4 linked regions of the Caenorhabditis elegans genome follow. The protein of the gene in region 3 interacts with the protein of the main gene of each other region in a pairwise test. Each region holds a gene or a part of one and is shown on either strand. Other genes may lie near its edges.

Evidence for each region.
Region 1: the proteins of jac-1 (region 3) and perm-2 interact in a two-hybrid assay, tested with the Caenorhabditis elegans proteins (one large-scale study listed by BioGRID).
Region 2: the proteins of jac-1 (region 3) and klp-15 interact in a two-hybrid assay, tested with the Caenorhabditis elegans proteins (one large-scale study listed by BioGRID).
Region 4: the proteins of jac-1 (region 3) and smap-1 interact in a two-hybrid assay, tested with the Caenorhabditis elegans proteins (one large-scale study listed by BioGRID).

What each region holds. Positions count from the first base shown.
Region 1 is NC_003282.8:1,124,971-1,129,483, forward strand, and holds perm-2 (uncharacterized protein), read left to right. Parts: upstream 1-1,819; 5' UTR 1,820-1,830; coding exon 1,831-1,914; intron 1,915-2,748; coding exon 2,749-2,908; intron 2,909-2,958; coding exon 2,959-3,194; intron 3,195-3,604; coding exon 3,605-3,688; intron 3,689-3,734; coding exon 3,735-3,782; 3' UTR 3,783-3,895; downstream 3,896-4,513. Other genes in the region: perm-4 (PERMeable eggshell), read right to left, coding at 1-1, 59-115; C44B12.6 (Clip domain-containing protein), read right to left, coding at 4,178-4,240.
Region 2 is NC_003279.8:5,576,485-5,581,180, forward strand, and holds klp-15 (Kinesin motor domain-containing protein), read right to left. Parts: upstream 2,711-4,696; 5' UTR 2,698-2,710; coding exon 2,544-2,697; intron 2,413-2,543; coding exon 1,625-2,412; intron 1,578-1,624; coding exon 1,142-1,577; intron 1,095-1,141; coding exon 709-1,094; 3' UTR 586-708; downstream 1-585. Other genes in the region: rmh-1 (RecQ-mediated genome instability protein 1 homolog), read left to right, coding at 1-153; ctnb-1 (Beta-catenin-like protein 1 N-terminal domain-containing protein), read left to right, coding at 3,182-3,238, 3,281-3,841, 3,886-4,089, 4,134-4,242, 4,306-4,550.
Region 3 is NC_003282.8:16,023,752-16,028,764, reverse strand, and holds the start of jac-1 (Fibronectin type-III domain-containing protein), read left to right. Parts: upstream 1-1,917; coding exon 1,918-2,072; intron 2,073-2,211; exon of another isoform or gene 2,212-2,236; intron 2,237-2,332; exon of another isoform or gene 2,333-2,353; intron 2,354-2,376; exon of another isoform or gene 2,377-2,397; intron 2,398-2,609; exon of another isoform or gene 2,610-2,630; intron 2,631-2,775; exon of another isoform or gene 2,776-2,796; intron 2,797-2,958; exon of another isoform or gene 2,959-2,985; intron 2,986-3,136; exon of another isoform or gene 3,137-3,157; intron 3,158-3,194; exon of another isoform or gene 3,195-3,215; intron 3,216-3,343; exon of another isoform or gene 3,344-3,367; intron 3,368-3,713; exon of another isoform or gene 3,714-3,734; intron 3,735-3,997; exon of another isoform or gene 3,998-4,021; intron 4,022-4,170; exon of another isoform or gene 4,171-4,191; intron 4,192-4,202; exon of another isoform or gene 4,203-4,228; intron 4,229-4,869; exon of another isoform or gene 4,870-4,893; intron 4,894-4,985; exon of another isoform or gene 4,986-5,006; intron 5,007-5,013. UniProt on the Caenorhabditis elegans protein: May act as a positive modulator of hmr-1 function during epidermal morphogenesis. Required for proper localization of other junctional components, such as pac-1.
Region 4 is NC_003281.10:10,736,393-10,741,786, forward strand, and holds smap-1 (Arf-GAP domain-containing protein), read right to left. Parts: upstream 3,401-5,394; 5' UTR 3,387-3,400; coding exon 3,265-3,386; intron 2,959-3,264; coding exon 2,261-2,958; intron 2,050-2,260; coding exon 1,577-2,049; intron 1,054-1,576; coding exon 859-1,053; 3' UTR 501-858; downstream 1-500. Other genes in the region: tass-1 (Protein FAM32A), read right to left, coding at 3,969-4,088, 4,133-4,214, 4,253-4,374; tbb-1 (Tubulin beta chain), read right to left, coding at 4,589-4,966, 5,017-5,394.

The sequences.
Region 1 (4,513 bases), about 15 Mb from region 3:
GCTGCAGAAAATGTTTCAGATTATCCTAAAATTGCGGAAATCCAAAAAAACCATATACCTTTGCACCGAGGACGGCGGCCAGCGAGGCGACTGTGAGAAGAAGAACGGTTTTCATTTCTGAAAAGCGATCGAATGATGGATTTGTCGGCGGAGCCATGCTTTTATAGTTCGGGGGGAACATGGGATGGGCTCCGCCTACAGAAAAAAAAATCAAGAGGAAAAGCTTGAGGAAGATGAAAGTAGAAATGTCTGAGTTGATGGAACGGGGAAAAAAGAGGAAACATTGAAAAGATGATCGATAGATTTGCACCATATCTCGGCTAATTTTCAAGATATCAAAAAAATTGTAACTAGACAGTTATAGAAAAAGTAATAATAAATAACTTGCCAGTTGATAATTTTTTGATAAAACCAAAGGCTACGAAGATATGAACTGTTAAAGTTGATCAGTAAATTTTTCATCGATGCACCAAAAAGAAGGGAATCTGAAGCATAAATAATGCATGTAAAACCTACTGCCAAAATTTTACAATAAAACTACTCTCAATGCACCATAATCAGCATTTTTGTTCAGCAGCTCGTATCCCTCTTATGTATTTTTATAAATATCAATTTATTACAAAACTTTGTAAAACTATGTAATGCATATTTTACGTGTTTGCAATTTGCTCATTGATATGTAAATTGTTGAAATTTTATTGGCAAATCCATAGAGAAATCCATTAGGAACACTATAAATCACTCCAAAGCTTTCAATTCACAAGGAAAGGAAGTCAATCTAGTCCCGGACTTTGAATCAGGACATATGCCTTTGAAAGCTTATGTTTAGACTAGATCACCAAAAAAATTTCAGCGGCGGAACTCAACTCTGAACCCCTGAAAGCGCCATCTGAAAGTGCTCCAGTGCATTTTTTTGCTGAATTCTAGGTCAAGTAAATGGCCTTAAAAGTGGCTAGAGCGGTTAAAAATTGTTTTTGGGGGTCTTTAGGGTCAAACAAACAGTGTGGAAGCTTTTTGGAAATTTTTATTTTTTTCCAAAAATCTGAAATTTTTGCGGTGATCTAGGCTAACCATAAGCTTTCAAATGACATACGTCTCGATTCGAAGTCCGGGACTAGATTAACTTACTTTCCTTGTCAGACAAATTTTTCACATAATACGTTAATTATCTATTTCATGCCCAAATTCCAGGTATTTGCACATTTCTCCATTCTCATTCAATTGCACTTTCACCCATCACGAGTTGCTCCATATGAAATCATCTGAAATGTCTGAAATTCCAAGCCCACTCAATCATCCCATTTCTCATATAACATGTTGCAATCAGGTGGGCGGCGGCTGCGGCCGGCAGGAAAAAGAGCCCAGCGGAATGTGTGATGGATTGAGCAGCGAAGAAAAAAGAAAATGGAAAAGCTGAAAAAAATAGTCGGTCGAAAAAAAAGTGACCTAAGGATGTGTTGCAACATGTGTCTGAGATCCAGCGGGGTTCAAAGAACTAATTTGTGTATCTTTTAGCAAAGTGTATTTTGAGAAAATCAACACATTTTGAACTAGAACACTGTAGAAAAACTGTTAAGGAACATTTTTCCAGTTGATCAAGTCCGAGTGATTCACCATGTATTGGAGCCTTTTGACTTGTTGGCTCAGTTACCACAGCTGTGAGATTTAATTCCAGGTTCCGTAGCAAACATTTTTGCGCTCCAAACCTTTTTGTTTTTTATCCAACGCCTAACGTTTTCCCCTCAAACTACAATGCCGAGTTCCCGCCTCCATATCTCTGGCGGATCTCAAGTATAAAAGCGGCGAAGCATCTTGGCTCCGATCATCATCATGTTTTCCACCACTTGGATCGTCGCGTCTCTGGCACTTTGCGCCGCTGTCACCTGCGCTGTGAGCACCGAGGCTCCTGAGAAGGTAAGCGTTACTGTTGGTTCTGTTGGAACTAGGAAAAACGGACTGTAAGGTTACTGTAGCTTGATAGATAACTTGATTTAGACACGTTAAAAAGTAAAGCTGTTATAGATATTTGACTAAATCTTGATGTATTGTCAGTAGGTATAATTAGTTGTATTCAAGTTATTAAGATTAGGTTTATTCCGTATCACGTGTGCATTAGTATGTATCACGTAAGGGTTACCTATACTATATTGTGATATCCTAAATAGTAAGTCTAAATAAGATTACTTGCTAAGGTGTAACTTGAATCGGACAGAAAATTTAGAGGTAATAAGATTTCTTGATGAAATGCTATGTTGATTAAGCGTAGATATATTTAATAGAATTCAACTTATTAGGAAGGTTAGTATACATTTAACTAGTTTCTTTTACCTAGGTTCTGCTCCTGGAGTTACTGTGGCTAGATGTAGCTAGACCTTAAATATATGTACCTTAAATAGGATGTAGGTCTAATTCAAATTAAACACGTTACGAATATGGCACATTATTTAATCCGATACAAAGGTAATACTATAAGTAGGCATGTATATTGAATAGTATTCAGGGAGGTATATTAGGACTAATTAAATACTTTTGAGATTAAGTAGTAACTGTTAAATACTGAAAGTGTAATAATTGTTTAGCTTTTAATATTTACCATCATTCATTTGAAGTACTTGTTCTAGGTAGCTTACTATTAGTATAGGAACGTAATCAATACCTACCTTTGAATCTAGACTAGTTTAGAATTTAGTACTAGAAAAAAATTATCAGTAAGTATGAGCGAATAAAATTTTATGTCCAATTTTCCAGCAATCCGACGTCAAGGACGCCCCAGCTGGAGCTCACTATGGCGGTGGCTACGACAACGGACCATCCTACAACCAACCCCAATACCCAGTCTACCAGTTCCCAAACTTTGACGTCAACTATTGCTCTGTCCACGCTTCCTTCCCACTTGTCGGTCTTAGAAGTTAGTTTTAACAACTTTCCTACGGGTCCCGTTCACCTTAAAACTTCTAGAGCACCATCGCGGTCACCACAGAGGCGACCGCGTGAAGAGACAAGCCTACGGAACCCCAGCTCAAGATTCCAACTACAACAACAACCAGCAATACGATGCTCCAGCCTACGGACCATCCTTCATCCAGAGACCACGCCCGTTCGAGCGTCAGGCTTGCAGAAACACCGCCATCTACTCGCAGGAGTCGTGCCAGAACTGCTGCTCCATCTCGTCCCGTGCCGCTGGAAGCTCATCGGTTAGTGCGGGTCAGAGCTATAGCTTTGGTTTATTTTTAGACTTAGGTTTAGGCTTAGGCTTAGGTTTAGGCTTAGGCTTAGGCTAAGGCTTAGGCTTAAGCTGAGACTTAGGCTTAGGCACAAGCTTAGGCTTAAAGTTAGGCATAGGCTTAGGCTTAGGATTAGGCTTAAACTTAGTTCCACCTGTTTTAAGGTCTAGAAACTGTTTTTAGCGTCTGAAAATCATTTTTTGTAATTTTAACGCAGTTTTTAAGCAAATTTTGAGGCCTAAGCTCTTTTGCCTCTACGAAACATATTTGAGGTTGCAAAGCAATTTTTAGTGTATCTGAGAACATTTTTCCGAGTTTAAAAGCTCGTTTTTAGTTGCCTGAAGCTCGTTTTCCCCCCAAAAATCTCTCCAATTTTGCAGAAAGTCGTCGGAATTCTGATGATCTTCGACCCGAAGCTGTCCGCCGACAAGAAGCACCACAAGAAGGACGACGACTTAAACTCGGTGAGCTCACAACTTTTGAAACCCTGCCAAATTTATTTTTTTTCAGCCAGACCGTGCTCTTCAATGCGTGTGCTGCACCTCGAGAAGAGTGTAATTCAACTAATTCCACGTGGCCAACTATTTTATCGATTTTTTTCTTTAAAAATTGTTTTCTTCAGTCAATCAATAAATATATATCGTACTTTGAACCAAAAAAAATATTCATTTGACATATAAAGAACCAAAAAAACTACCCGATTAGTGTGGAAAAATGGGGTCAAAGGACAAAAAGTGAAACAAATAGGAAATCGAGAAATGCAAATTATGAAATGAGACGGAAAAATTGAACATTTAATGAAAATGACACAAAAAATATCGGTTTTTGGCAAAATTCAGAATTTTAGGCGAGGGTTTTTTTTCAATTTATACAGAAAACAGCTGAGATCACAAAAATAGGGAAAAAACTTTGGATTCTAACAATCTACTACTGATATGATGAAACAAATGATGCTAAAGTGGTGTTGATGGCGGTGTTGGCAGGGAATGCGAGTGGGTTCCCGAGCTGATGTGGTTCTGAAAAAATCAATAATTTTTTTTTTTGGAGAACGGGATGAGGAAGCTTTGTCTATACCGCGGTTGTGAAATTGAACTTTTTTAAAAATGAATATCAAGAAAACGCCTGTGGAATTAAAATTGAAACTTCTTTTGTTGGTTCAGGGCAGATAATATAGTGATTTTTCAGCTCTAACAGTTTGTTTTAAAATAAAACAATTACATTTCGAAACTTACAATCTTTCTTATAAATGGAAATTATTAAAGCATTGTGAAATCTTTGCAGCGCATTTG
Region 2 (4,696 bases), on a different chromosome or scaffold from region 3:
GAGCTACGTGCGAAGAAATGCGAAGCCGAACGTAAACTTCTTGGATTCAAACGTCTTGATCTTCTTTTATGGGTTGAGGTTTCACCAGAGCGTAACCAAATTCCGCTCATTCTTGACGTGAAAACGATTTCTGATGCTCTCAATATTTTGTAATTATTTCTATTGCTTGCTACCTGAATTCACGTGTACCACAATATAGTCATGTATTATTTAATTGTTCTTGTTTTTTTGTTGTTTCCAAATACAATACAACTGTTTTAAGCTTTTTCTTTCGTTAAAATTTCTTTAAAACAGAAATGTAACAAAAAACATAAATTTAAACAAACTGTATGGAAAACTGTACAGTTTTCGATACAACGAGAGTTTGAAACTACAGTACTCTTTAAAGGGTCATGCCATTTTCGAATTCATCAAAAGTTCGTCGGGTCGAGACATACATACTACAGTAAGAAATGTAATATTCTCATAAAGCTCAAAACAATGTATTTATAACCCAATCAACAGCATTTAGACCGGACTATATTTTTCCTATCGGGATCTCCCTTTGTTTTGAAACAGACGATTAAAACTCAAAAAACGCAAAGTAAAATTGAAATTCGTTCATTTTGTTAATGATCGAAATATTTAGGTTACATCAGTATAAAAGGTTTGCATAAGGCAATAAAAATAACGTTATTTTACATGAAATGTTAGAATAGAATTATATGTCTAGTTCATAGACATCTGGGACACGTCACCCAAGAGAGTCCGTTGCTGCACGGCCGATCCGATGTTAGTACTGCGCATCTTTGAGGCGAATTCGATGCTTCTCTTGGACTCTGTCGCTTGCTCGTTGCATGGATTGAGATTGACCACAACCATAGTCTTCGAGTTGCCACGTCCCAAGCAGTCCATCAGCACTTGTGTCAGTTTGCTGTCGCGATATGAAACATGTCCCTTCTGGGATCTTTGCTGGCTGATGCACATCTGAAGGATAGACAACGACTGGTTGATATTAGTCATCTCCTTGAACTGGTCGCCACTGACACCAGACTCCTTGGCACGTTCGGATCCTGCGAGATCCACAAGTTTGAGCTGGCACGATGTTGAAATTCCTGTATATCAATATTGTGAATTAATTATTTTTATTTTCGAAAGTTACCAGTTGATGGCTGATGAGCTGTAATCTTCCACATATAAACGGCGTGCGAACGAGACGAGCTCTCATTGCACTTTGTCGCCGCCGTCTTCCTGCCACCGTCTGCTACACGAAGAAGTCTAGCCACATCCGAGACATTGGAAATCGTGTGCTCGGAGAGCCCAATCATGGAAACCGTTTGATCGTTCAAACGAAGTTGGACAACGGCGCGGTCACTGAGAAGGTCGTATGCCACGTTGTTGTAGACTTCTAGGAAAGACAACGAGAAGTCGAATTTCCATCCAAGTGACTCGAGCTTTCTGGATTCGGCGAACAGAAATGCAGCTGCTCTCGGGATGATTCCTTCCTCTTCACCATTTCCTCCTCGCATCGTGTGAGTTTTGCCACTTCCGGTTTGTCCATAGGCAATCAATCCGACGTTGTACCCATGCAGTGACGACTGAAATTATCAATTTTCAATTATTAATATTATATTTTGAAACTAACCCGAATGAACTCCTCGACGTTCGCGAACACTTCCTTCTGCGAGAAGACTGGCGTGAAAACCTTCTCGAATTTGACCACAATTCCAGGCTTCGAGCCTTCATTGATTCTGATGGTATCGATAGCCGGATACTCAATTGCAGAACTCGAGGCGTCGGCTTCAGATTTGATCAACGGCCGAACGCGAACAGCCACACGAATTTGACCGCGTAAATCGACAACATCGTTGTGCAACTTTCTCAACTCAGCTTCCTTTTCGTTGAGCAGATCCCGGAGATCGTTGTTGTGCACACGATAATCCTCGCACTCCTCCACTTTCGCCTTGTTGACTTCTTTCAGCGTGCTCAATTGATCTTGCAGTGAAATCAGCTTGCGATCCGCTCCTTCAAGTTTGCCATCCAGGATTTGGATCTTGCTCTTCTGATGTTCAGCAAAGTCGGTAGCCTCAGCCATCGCACTCTCGAGCTGCGCAATTTTCTCTTCAAGAAGCGCCATCTTAGAAGGGAGAATAGGCTTCTGTGCCACTGGTCGGGCTCTTGTCACCGACGGCTTCAGGGAAGAAGTCGCAGTTGAGCGTTGAGTGGATGGTGGCGGTGGACGACCTGTGCGAAGTTGTCGAAACGTAGAAGCTGCCGTCAGTGTGGAAATACGGCTCGCGGTGGATTGCATCGTTGGTATGGGACGGGAACACGACGCTGGTTTGGCCATCGCTGATCGTTCTGGCAACGATGCTCTACCAGTTGCAGGCGTTGTGGGGGTAGGCAAACGAGACGGAGGACGACGAGCAGCGGCTGAAAACTCGTAATTAAAGTAGTTGTTAACAAAAAAGGTTTTAAACAAAAACAAAAACATGTTTTATTTAGAAGTGTGAACACTTTGAAATCACGAGGAAGTTATTTAAAAACACAAATGACAAATTTACCTCCAATCGTTATTCCTCCAGGAGCCGACTGTCTTGGGATTGTTGTTGAATTGGCTTCTTTGGTGGATGGCGCGGCAGCACGTCCTCTTGTGATCTTCGGCGTTGCTCCGATAGTCGACCGAAACAGGCCACTTCTTCTTCGAGCGACATTCATCGCGAAATTTGGGACAAAAATGAGGAAATCAGCCCCTTCATTGACATTTTCCCGCTCAAAGTTGAACTCCGCCTCTGAAAATTCCCGCCAAATCGAATGGATTACCGTAGTCAACTACGGTATTAGATCAAAAATTTATATCATGTTGAGCTCATCCAGAATTGTCGGATATAATTATTTTGTTGTCAAAAGGCATAAAGAATGCCGTAAAAATTATTTATAACTATAACACAGAAGGCTTATCCATAATTGCACTGATATCAGGTTATACAAACAAATATATAAAATGCAGGTCTAGAAATTATAATGTGAGCGACACTCCGATATTCCGGTGCGCGCCTTGTTTACCGTATATCTACACCAAAGTAATTGCAAAAAAAAAATTTGAAAATATTTGCTTGCGAAAATTTTTATACACTTTCTTCAATATTTTGATTTTTCTGTGGTTTTTTAAAAATATAGGTTGGTAAATGATTGTTTCCAGATGACTTCTATCGATGTAACAGAGATTATCAAATCATCGACATCTTCTTTGTATCAGGTAAATTGATATTAAATTTTTTTGATTATAAATAGTTTACAGCCAGCAAGAAAGAAATCTCGTTTTGACGATAGTGCTTCTTCTTCATCTCAAGCTGGCCAGCCAAAACCAGAAGATATTCTTGCGGCTTTGGAAGCCGATCAATCAAATTATGTGGCTCTCGACGATGTGCAAGTTAAGAAACTTGTTATTCAACTTGACAAAAAGATGCGATTAAATCGAGAACAAAGAGTTAAAAATCCAGATGATGCTCAGAAATTCATGGAATCGGAAATTGAATTAGACAAGGCAATTCAAGAAATGCATAGTCTGGCTTCTCAACCAGACCTTTATGGATCGTTTGTTGAAGTCAACGGAGTTGAAATTCTTCTTCAATTATTAGGACACGAGAATACTGATATTGTGTGTGCAACACTTAGTCTCTTGAGAGAACTTACAGACGATGATGTGATGAACGAAGGAGAAGATGGAGCAGCTGAACTTATTGAAAGTCTTGTGTCTGGATCGATTATCACAACTTTGTTAGCATGCGTAGAGAGGCTCGATGAAAGCGTCAAAGATGAAGCGGATGGCGTCCATAATGCACTCGGAGTTGTGGACAATGTAAGAAAAATCGATATTTGAAAAACAAAACAATATATTTTCAGATGATTGGTTTCCGCGATGACATTACTGAAGAATGCGTAAAGCACGGATTCACGGTTTGGCTTCTGAAAAGATGCTTTCAGAAAGGTGCATTTGATGCGAATAAGATGTACGCTTCGGAACTTCTTTCAGTCATATTGCAGACTTCTGATACTGCAAAGGCAAAGCTGACAGAGAAAATTGATGGCATCGATATTTTATTGAGAGTGAGTAGCCAAACAAAGTATCAAGAATAAATTGAACTTTTAAGACCATTGCTGTGTACAAAAAGAACGATCCAGCAAATGTAGACGAACGAGAATACATGGAAAATCTATTCAACTCACTTTGTGCCGCACTTATGCATCCGGCTAATCGAAGTACGAATTTTTTTGAATATAAACACCAAAAAAATTGCTCTTGTTCAAAATAAATGTTTTCAGAAAAGTTCCTCGACGGAGAAGGTCTTCAATTGATGAATTTGATGCTCCGAGAGAAGAAACAAGCAAGACAAAGTGCTCTGAAAGTTCTGAACCATGCAACATCAGGAGACGAGGGAATCGAAAATTGCAATAAACTTGTCGAAATGCTCGGATTGAGAACAATTTTCCCGTTATTCATGAGAACACCTTCAAAGACAAAAAGAAAGGATACGACACCTGATGAACATGAAGAACACGTTTGTACGGTAAGATTTATGTTGTGATATTATTTTGAATGTTTTAGCTTCAAAATTGGACTGGTAAATCGGACTTTCGGTTTTTCTCCTTTTTTGAACAAAAATTGAGTTTTCAAATCTGCCTTGCACTTTTTGATACTTATCGAACATATAAT
Region 3 (5,013 bases):
CAACAATTCTCATCATTACAAGTTTTGAAAACATGATGAATATGAAAAAGTGAAATTTTTCTGAAAAAAAAACGCAGCCGACATCGATCGAGGTTCTGTTGTTGTCTGCGTCTCTTAGCTGGGAGAAGTCCTAAAACGCTATTTACAATATTTTAGGGATTACTGTAGGGTTATGTAACAACCGAAGAAAAGAAACCTAATCGGCAGGAGCTGATGAGTTTGATTTAAAATTTGCATAGCCATTTCGACAGCAAACATTTTAAAAACAAAACCTCGCTTAAAATGAACATTTTGAGATAAAACTTCACATTAACTTTGTCTTTAACTTTGAAAACATTTTGAAACAGAAACAATTTTAATCCTAAATTTTTTTCAAATTTCCCACCAAAAAGTGCCTTCTCTTACACTTTTCCCACTGGGATCCTCAGCGGCTCCCTCCAAATCGCGGCTCATCAATCTTGCTCAAAAAAAATTTATTTGCACCCACCAATTGTCTACCACCTCCGATGGGAGACGGGTGCTTTGATTAATAATTATGATATTTTTGGTTTGGCTTTTTTTGGTTTTACTGTTCTTTTCGAAAATAGAAGTTTTGGAGCATTTTTATATTTTCCATGAATCTCGCTATTAAAAAAAAGACAATTTTGGAAAAAAAATTTGCCGTTTCAAAAGTAACATATAAACAAATAAATTTTTTAACTTGCAGTATGGTGTTTACTTGAGTAATTAGATTTGTTTCCATCCTAAACTTTCTTCCACGTGGCATATTACGTTGAATTCTTACAGAATAATTAAAATTATTATTAAAAATTTGAAAAAAATGACTTTTGGATGAAAATGTTTGACTTTTCCCAAAATTTCATCTGCATTTTTGTAATATTACTCGGTTTACTAACAGTTCTTCATAATTTACGGTTTTTTTTTCAAAAAATGATATTTTTTAAAAAAAGCTTTTTTTTGAAATTTTTCTACGAAAATTCCGAAATTGTGCAGAAAATCGTCAAATTCGTTTTCAAAATTTTTCAATTAATTTAGGAATTTTTGATTGTTAGAAAGTTTCTCAATGAAAGTTTTAAAGAATTACCAATTTTTGAATGTGAGCTGTACTCAATGTAGAAGCAAATTTTACGATAATAAATGGATAACTTGAAACATTATTTTTCAAAAAAATTTCTACAACTGCTGAAAAGTTAATTTCTTAAGAGGAAAATGTATTATCTTCGTCGCATAACGTTTTTTGTTGCTAGAAATCCGGAATACGCGTTGATTTCTGGAAAAAATTGTGGAGTTTTTTGCATTTTCGAAAAAACAAATTTCACCGTTTCAGAAATGTCTTAAATCGTTTTGTTTTCAATTGAAAAACGCTTCGATTTTGAGAAAACTGGCCGTTTCAAGAATTATTCAAAAATCGGTCTGTTTTGTTCTCTACTCTACTGACAAGTACTGTTTCAGAATGTTCACAAAAAAAGCTAATTTTATAATAAAACTAATTGTACTACGATGCAGTAAATATATATTTTTCGTATGAAAATTCTCACTTCACTCAAAAATTGATTAAAATTGTCATAATTAATTTTGAGATTTCTATTAAAACTGCTAATTCAAGGTTTTAACAGAATTCTCCATAGAATACTAAAATTTACAATTATTCCTGAATGCATATCAAAATGTTATTTTTTCTATTCGGAACTAGATCACGTAATTGTTCGTGAAATTTTTGCAAAATAAATCGAAAATGTGAATAGGTGAAATTTTGTTTTAAAAAAAAATTTTGAAAAAAATTCACTTTTTCACATAGTACTCATAAGCACTGTTATAAAACCATATCTGATGTCTCATTGTTAACATTTTCTCTCAACTCTCCGTCCACTTTTTAAATAATCAATAATTCCTCCTCAAAATCCCAACATTTTACAGATGATCTCCTCGGGGTGGATGCAAGAAATGGAGCCCATACCAGAGGAGGGAACCGAGGCGGATGGCTCCGAGTGGGGAGCTATGTCGGATACCGCTAAAAGGACGATGCGAAAGAAGGAGGTGTACACTTCGGAACAGATTAATACGCTAGTTAGGTTAGTTTTTTTTTTTGGAATTTTTATTTTTGGGAGGGGTTTGAAAGAGATCTCAAAGTTTGAATTAATTTTGAAATTGAAAAAAAAAGTTTTGCAGTTTCTGGTTCTTGAGAAGTAGTACAAGGAAATAGAAAAGCACTTATTTTTGAAATCGAACTTCAAAACCAGAAATGAAAAATTGATCAAAAACTAACTTAAAAATTGGGCATAGAACATATTTATTTGAAGAAAATTAAATTTTCAGCCAACAAAATGTTCTAAAGTTTCAAGTTCCTTAGATATCACTGAAAATATCTAAGCTCTTTTTGACATCAAAGAAAAACAGATAAGTTTTTATTATATATGATCTCGATTTTTTTCTCTGAATAATCTCACACATTCAAATTGATACTCTTAAAATTAAAAAAAAACAAAAGAAATAACTGATTGCGTATTAAAAAAATAGTTAAAATTCCGAAACTAGAAATTAAGTTTAAAAATTAAAAAAAAAACTGTTTCTAGTTCTTAAGATATAACTGCTCCAAAATAGAAGGGCAGTCTCATAGGGTCTCGTTGACAAGCTGAAACGAAAGTAGTGTATTTTTTCAAAAACGAACTAATTCTGCATAACAACAGCAAATCTCGGCTTTTAGCTAAAAAATCTAACACTTATTTTTACTTTTTCTAGTTTCCCAAATAAAACCTTTAATTTTCCATTAAATATTGATTTAAGTGCCTGTCCTTTCTAGTAGTACTGCATAGCTTACGATCTTCTCTTTAAAATATTTATGAAAATCCAAAATATTCAAAGCAATAATACAGAAAGTGTTTTGTTCTACAATTTGGTATCAACTTTTTTCTACTGTTTTTACACCTTAAGATAAAACTGCTCTGAATTGAGTGACATTCTCGCTCTTGAACAAAACGCAGAGAAATCAACCACTTTTTGACCGTTGTTCCACCACTTTTTGTAAAACAAATTACTGGTTAAAAGTTGCCTATTTCAAAATTTTCTTTCTGAAAAGTAGTAAAATATTTCGTTAAAAAATAGAAAATCGGAGTTTGTCAAGGAAAAAATTTTGGAAACTTTTTTCCGACTGTTTCTATTGCTTAACATATTAGTTCTCGAAAATAAAAAGGCAGTCGGAAACCAGATATATTTTGAAAGTTGATAATTTCTCTAAAAGCAACCTAATTCTGCATAAAGTCGGTATTCTAAAATTCTCGACTGCGAAAAATAAATTTCTACTGTTTCAAATTGTTTAGATAAAACTACTTAAATTGATTAAAGATAGTGCCATTAATTCATCCGATATTCCCATCTCACCTCTCTTTAATTCCCTCCAAAAAAGCCGTTTCAAAACCCTAACCGCCGCCAAATACAAACAGTCCGTCCTATTTTTTCCGTTTTTGCATCGGATTAGTGTTGTGTCTTCCGTCTCTCCAAATCCCACACTATCTCTCAGCCAGGTCTACAAAATGTTTATTATTGTCATTAATATTCGTTTCGGCTATGTTTTATTGGTATATCATTGGATTGGAACGACGACGCTAGTGGTCATTTATTGCAACTTTTGAGTTGCGGCAAAACTTTAGAAATTGAAAAAAATAGTTTCGGTTTCAAGGGTTTATACTTTTTTCCGAACATTTTTGGTTATCAGATCCAAAAATAGTTAAATCTAATTTTTGTTTGACAATGTATATGCAACTGAAACTGCAAAACCAAGTTAAAAATTTTTTAATGTAACCAGCCTACCATAAATAAGAATAAATTGAACATTTGAATGTTTTAATAGCAGTTTTTATTTAAGTGTATTCCAAGTTAATTTTCTTCAAAATTTGCAAAAAAAATGTTTGCTTAATGAAAGTTTTATCGAGGCCACTTTATTTTGGCAAAAAAAACTATTTCAATATGTTTTTTAACGACTTGCAAGTTAAACTCATATTATTGTTACTTAACCTTTGAAATAAATTTGACCCATATAAGTTTCATAATATACATGGAATCCTTGCCTGAAAATTTTTTAATATTTCAAAATAATTAAACGGTGAAAATTCATAAATTTGCTTTTAAAACTTCAAGAAATTTCAATTTTTAAATTAAAATTACTGTTTCAAAACTTTGAGAAAATGTTTCTGATTAGCTGTTATTTTATTGCACAATTGATAAGGATAAAATGAAACAGTAAAACAGCAATTTTTAAAAACTTGACAATTGGTTCCCGATGACGTCACTGGAAATGCAAGGATGTGCAAGGTGTGAGTAATCGAAAATACCCTTCCCTTCCCTGTCTCAAACGGTCCATTTCTCCACGGCAAACAAGAGACCATCTAAAACAATATGTCATTTCCCTCTCTCCACTCTGCGTCTCACACTCTCTTCCCGCACGTTGGCACTCTGCCAAAGTGTGTAGAGAGAGTGGAGAAATAGAGAGTGAGACAGAAGGTTAAAAAGGTGTGAGTGAGAGAATGTCCTCGATGAAGAGAGGGGACGAACAAATGAATAAATTGCGTTCGCCGTTCTCATTTCCGATGACTTTTTGTTCTTTTACTGTGGAGAGATTTTCTGAAGAATGGGAGACACTTTTTTTCCACTGCTTTAGATGTTTCTTTGAGCATGTAGTTTTGTAAACGACGTTCTCTACATAAAATTGATTTTAAATACAGTTTTTTTTGCTAAAATTCAACAGAAAGATGAATTCTAAAAAAAAAAGAAAAAATTGTGTAAAATCCTGTTTTTTTCAGTTTTAACTATGAATATTCGAAAAAAAAACTGTTTCAAGATGTTGTTGAATTTTCTTCAAGTTTTTTAGTTAACTGTTATTTTGTCTAAAATTTCTCTAAATACTATTTTTAGATATTTCACATAACAATTTTTCTTCTTAACATTGTTTCAAATAGATCATATATTTTCGAAAATGTTTCAAATATTAGTGGGAAAAATCATTCCAGCGGACAAAAT
Region 4 (5,394 bases), on a different chromosome or scaffold from region 3:
AAATTAAATATAGCAATAAAACACTTAAATTTTAACAAAACTCGAGAGAAACTTCGCAGGAAAGTTTGAAATTACAGTAATTTTTAAAGGCACATGCTCACTTCTCTCAAACTGACTTTGATCGTTGCAGAACCCATGCAAGGGTAGAAGATGTGCGCCTTTACAGTTGGCACATTTTGGAATTAAATTTTCGCAAAAAAAAACCGGATTAAACCGAATCTCCAGAAAAATCGAGAAAACTAACGGAAGAGAAAAAAAGGAAAAACAAAAATAATCGAAATGTTCAAACCGAAGAACGATAATTGTGGTTTCCTTTCATCTTCTTCGTCTTCTTCAGCCCAATTCCCTCCCGCGCATTCCGCCTCATTCGGCTTTTCTGCTGCGTCTCCACGATTCGTGTGATATTTCCCACCGGAATCAGGACGAACATGTCTGCGTGCTACTCGTTTCTCGTACTATTTCGCCGGGGGTCGACAAAAGTCATTTTCAGTCGAAATTTTAGTTCAAGATTAGGAATCTCGATAAATTTCATTCGACAGAAAAAAAAACACATTAAAAATCAGTTTAAGCATGAATTAGTACGTTGAAGGAGAAAGAAAAAGAGAGGGGCTATAGAAATCTGAAAAAAAAGTTGTAGTATTCCTAATACACATTTCGGATATGCTGAAGGGACTGGAATTTCTGGGGCTCACACAACCGAACTTTATCGGGGGGAAATGTTGATGAGAATAATAATTTACTAGAAAAAAATCACAAAAAGAAGCGCAGTTTCCTAGGAAAGAAAGTGTTTAGAGAGGGAGAAAAGAAAAATAAAATCACAGGTCAAATTATGCATTTTTTAGGTGGAAAACTAGTTTTTCAGAGTCCAAGGAGGTCGTCAAGTCCAGACGAAGACGAATTGACTGTAACCGGTGGCGGTGCCGAGGCGAACATATCGAAAAGATCATTGTTGGCGGCAGTGTTGGATTGTGCCGGCATCGGTGACGCTCTATTAGAGGAAATTGGTGCCGCTTGGTGATGAATTGCACTTTGTCCGTAGTTTGTCTTCATTACCTGGAAAAAAAAATTATAATAGGTTAATTTTTTTTTTCAAGAAATATCGAATCAGGTTCGACTTTTTTTAGTTTAATGATCGAAATTTTTTTCAAAACTTTACTTTTTTTTTCAAAAAATTGCATCAAATTGCTGGTTTTTTTCCAAAAAAAATTGTGAAATTATTCAATAAAAAATGTGAATTCTTTTCGGTACAAAAACCTAGGAAATTTGAAACAAAAATCCAAATTAATTGTGCTTTTGGATGTTTTTTCCGGAACTTTCTAGTTAATAATTCATGCAAAAATTGGTAAAAAATGATATGATTTTTTCTTGATTATACTCGTTTATTTTTCAACGAAAATCAGACAATTTTTTCTGAAAAATAAGGTATTTTGCTTGAAAAAAAAGCATAAAGCGAGAGTTATCGAAAAACGGGTATTTTGTTTGGAAAAAAATTTTAATTTTGAATTTTTTGCTAAATTTCTAGTTTTTTTCTTCAATATATCTAGAATTTTAACGCTCAAAAGTGCCAAAATTGTACCTTTCCAAGTGCCAAATCAGCGAAAGCATTCGATTTATTCGGAATATTGAATCCTTGTGATCCAGTTGGTGAAGTAGGCGTTGGTTTAGACTGCATACTCATTCCACCGAATCCACTGGAAGACATTGCTCCAAATTGAGCAGCTCCAAAGTATTGTGGTGGAGCCATTGGTGGGATTTGAGACATTTGAGCCGATGGTGGTGGTGCTCCAAAATTGATACCCGACAGTCCTCCAAACATATCATTTTGTTGTGGAGCTGGAGCTGGAGCCCCGAATTGGTGGAACGAAGAAGCTTGTTGCGGGATTTGAGCCGGAGCAGCTTGCAGTCCAAATCCGGCAAATCCTCCGGGAGCAACTACATTCGGAGCCGATATGCCACCAGATGGGCCGAAAAGCGAAAGAATATCTGCGTTGGTTTTCTTTTGATCACTTCCATTTGTCGCTGGAGCCGTTGAGGAGAGAGCGGTGAGATCTGAAAAGGAAAAATCATTTAAAAAAATTATTTACAAAAGTGAAAAACAAATGAATTTTGGTTCCCGCTTGTTCGATTTTCCAAGGTCCCGAAAAATGACTTTTTTTTTGGATAAAAATTAGGAATTGAAATTTGGTTCAATTTTCATACATTTTTCCTCAATTTTTTGATTATCTTTTTTTGCGACAAAGACCAGGTGAAAATTCAATACCATCGAGGCCAGAAGAAGCTGAAGGCGCTGCAGCTGCTGTCGTTGGAGCCGATGAGAAATCGGCGAATCCTCCTCCAAGAGATTGAGCATTCTGTTGAGCATTTTGTGAGTTCGCCGAGACAAATGATCCGAAATCGTCGAAATCATCGTTGAGAGCAGCTGGAGCTGCTGCCGGAGCCGCTGGTCCTAGACTTAATCCATCAAAGTCGTCGAATAAGTTGACGGCCTTCTTAGCAGGAGTTGTGCTGGCTGGAGGATCAGAAAAATCTAGAAGCGATGGAGCAGCAGCAGCAGCTGAAGCCGTCGAATGTCCATTGCTAGAGCTACTTCCACGTGATGCAATGTTCACAACGGGCGTTCCGACCTTCTTCTGTGCCTGAGACAATGATTTCGGCAGCTGGCTCGCGTCAACTCTTGGATACACGAAATCTCGCAGAATATACCGTTTCTGTTCATACTTGCTCCGAATGAATTGTTCCATTTGCTGATCATTGGTGGGCCGCCGAAATTGCGCTGGTAGATCATGTTCGTAGACTTGTCGGGCCTTCTCGTTGCCCATCACCCGCATCGTCTGCACTTGTTCGGGCGTCCACGAGTCCAGATTCACTGAGCGCACTTTTGAGATGTGAACGCCGAGGTTACGGTGGATGCCGGCGCATCGGATGCAGATGAAGACGCCGAGGTTCCAGGCAGCCCATCTGAAATAAATATTGATTTTTTGTTGTTATTTCTGCAATTTTTGCAATCCTGGCACGGTTTTTGGGGTAAATTTTGAAATTTGTGGATTTATCGGAATAATTCCTTGGACCAATAAATCCGCGAAGGTTTTGCATTGACAAAAAAAGTCTAAAAACTGTAACCAAGCGGAAAAATAATTTTTGACTTTTTTCAGTTTTCGAAAGAATTATTCCGGCAAACCTGTAAATTTACTGCAATAACGATTTTAAGCCGAAATATACTATATTAAATTCGCGAATTTCCAGATTTTCGTCTCAAATTCTCACCTTGGCGTTTTCGCCTGACAATCGGCACAATACTTGTTCTCCTCTTCCTTGAGCATGTCCAACAGGAAGCCTTGCAGTCTTTCCTGCTCTTCCTTCTTCGGATCCACTTTACCTCGCAGCATTTGTGCTTCTGAAACTGAAAAACCTTGAACTCGATGGAAATGAAAATGCGGAAACGTGATGTTGAAAATGATAAGAGAGAAAAGGGCAACTCAATCAATATTCGACGACGATGACGCGTGGGAAATTGGGAAATGCACAAAAGAGGAGATAATATGAAAAAATGATAAATTCTGAGCTTCCTCGAGTTCCACTGAAATTTGAGAAGAACGTGTGTGTGAGGCCAGTAACCCGAATAATCAATGAAGTCGGCTCCAGCTTCACGGAGCCGGTGTCAGGCTCTCGCGCAAATGAGGGCGTGTGTGAGGACAGAGGCGAGAGACGGAGAGACGCAGACACTCTTTGTCTGTGAATACGCCGAATTTGACGCAAAGTGGGAATTATTGGAGAATTATAATGACGTGGCCATGGCATTTTATTAGAAGTACAGGATTTTCAAGCTACGAAAATTCACGAATTAATCAAGGAAAATATACATTTTGGAGCAAAAAAACCAAAAAAGATTTATTGACAGTTATGCACAAATGATTCAAGTAAAGTACAGAGAGAGAGAGAGAGAGAGAGAGAGAGAGAGATTATTATTATTATTTCGTCCAGGAAACTTTTGGAATGTCGTTGAATTCTGTCATCTCGCCGAGCTGCTTGTTCAACTTCTCCACCTTTTCACGATGACTCAACGCCGCCTGTTTCAGCATTCTTTCCGCCTGAAATTATGTGAATTTTAAGTATTAAAAAAAAAAGCGCCTACCATGTTCGCCTGTCTTCTAGCCTCGAACCGAAGCTCAGCCTCGGTTTTGTGTGGCCCACCGCCGGAAGTGTTTCTGGAATCTCTGGGACCGTTAGCTGTCTGGTTTCGGATTACACATACCTTCTGATCGTCATGTCAACTTGCTTCAAGTCCATAGCTGGCTTACTCTTTTTAGTCTTCTTTGGCGCTTCTGTCGATACTTTTTTCAACTTGAGAGATCCTTTGACGACTGTGTCTTTCATTGTTCTGAATATGAAAATTGTGAACCAGTGTCTACCTTCTATCGAGCTTTTGCAAGATATTTTAATGATTGAAACATAATGAGAACACTGGAAAAAAGTTTAAATTAATCATCGTTCATTCGAGTCATAAAAATATTGGGAGTGGGCGAAAGAAAAGATCATTGTACAGGAAATTACGAAACGGGGCAGGATAATTTAGTGATTGATACACAGATTATTGCTCAGACTCGTATGTCTCCCCTTCTCCGGCGAACTCGTCGAGTGGCTCGTCTTCGGCGGTAGCTTCCTGGTATTGTTGGTACTCCGAGATCAAGTCGTTCATGTTGCTTTCAGCCTCGGTGAACTCCATCTCGTCCATACCCTCACCAGTGTACCAATGAAGGAAGGCCTTTCTGCGGAACATGGCGGTGAATTGCTCCGAGATACGCTTGAAGAGCTCCTGGATAGCAGTGGAGTTTCCGACGAAGGTGGCAGCCATCTTGAGTCCACGTGGTGGGATGTCGCACACAGCAGTCTTGACGTTGTTTGGAATCCATTCAACGAAGTACGAGGAGTTCTTGTTCTGGACACTGAGCATCTGCTCGTCAACCTCCTGAAAAACAAAGCATATAGTGAAAAGTTACAAGCAATCGATGAACTTACTCTCATGGACATGCGTCCACGGAACATAGCAGCAACGGTGAGGTATCTTCCGTGTCTTGGATCGCAAGCAGCCATCATGTTCTTGGCGTCGAACATTTGTTGAGTAAGCTCGGCGACAGTCAATGCACGGTAAGCCTGAGCTCCCTTGGCGGAGAGTGGAGCGAATCCAGGCATGAAGAAATGAAGACGTGGGAATGGAACCATGTTGACAGCCAACTTGCGAAGATCAGCGTTCAGCTGTCCAGGGAAGCGGAGGCAGGTAGTCACTCCAGACATTGTGAGAGACACGAGATGGTTCAGGTCTCCGTATGTTGGGTTGGTGAGCTTTAGAGTTCTGTAGCAGATATCGTAGAGAGCCTCGTTATCGATACAGTAAGT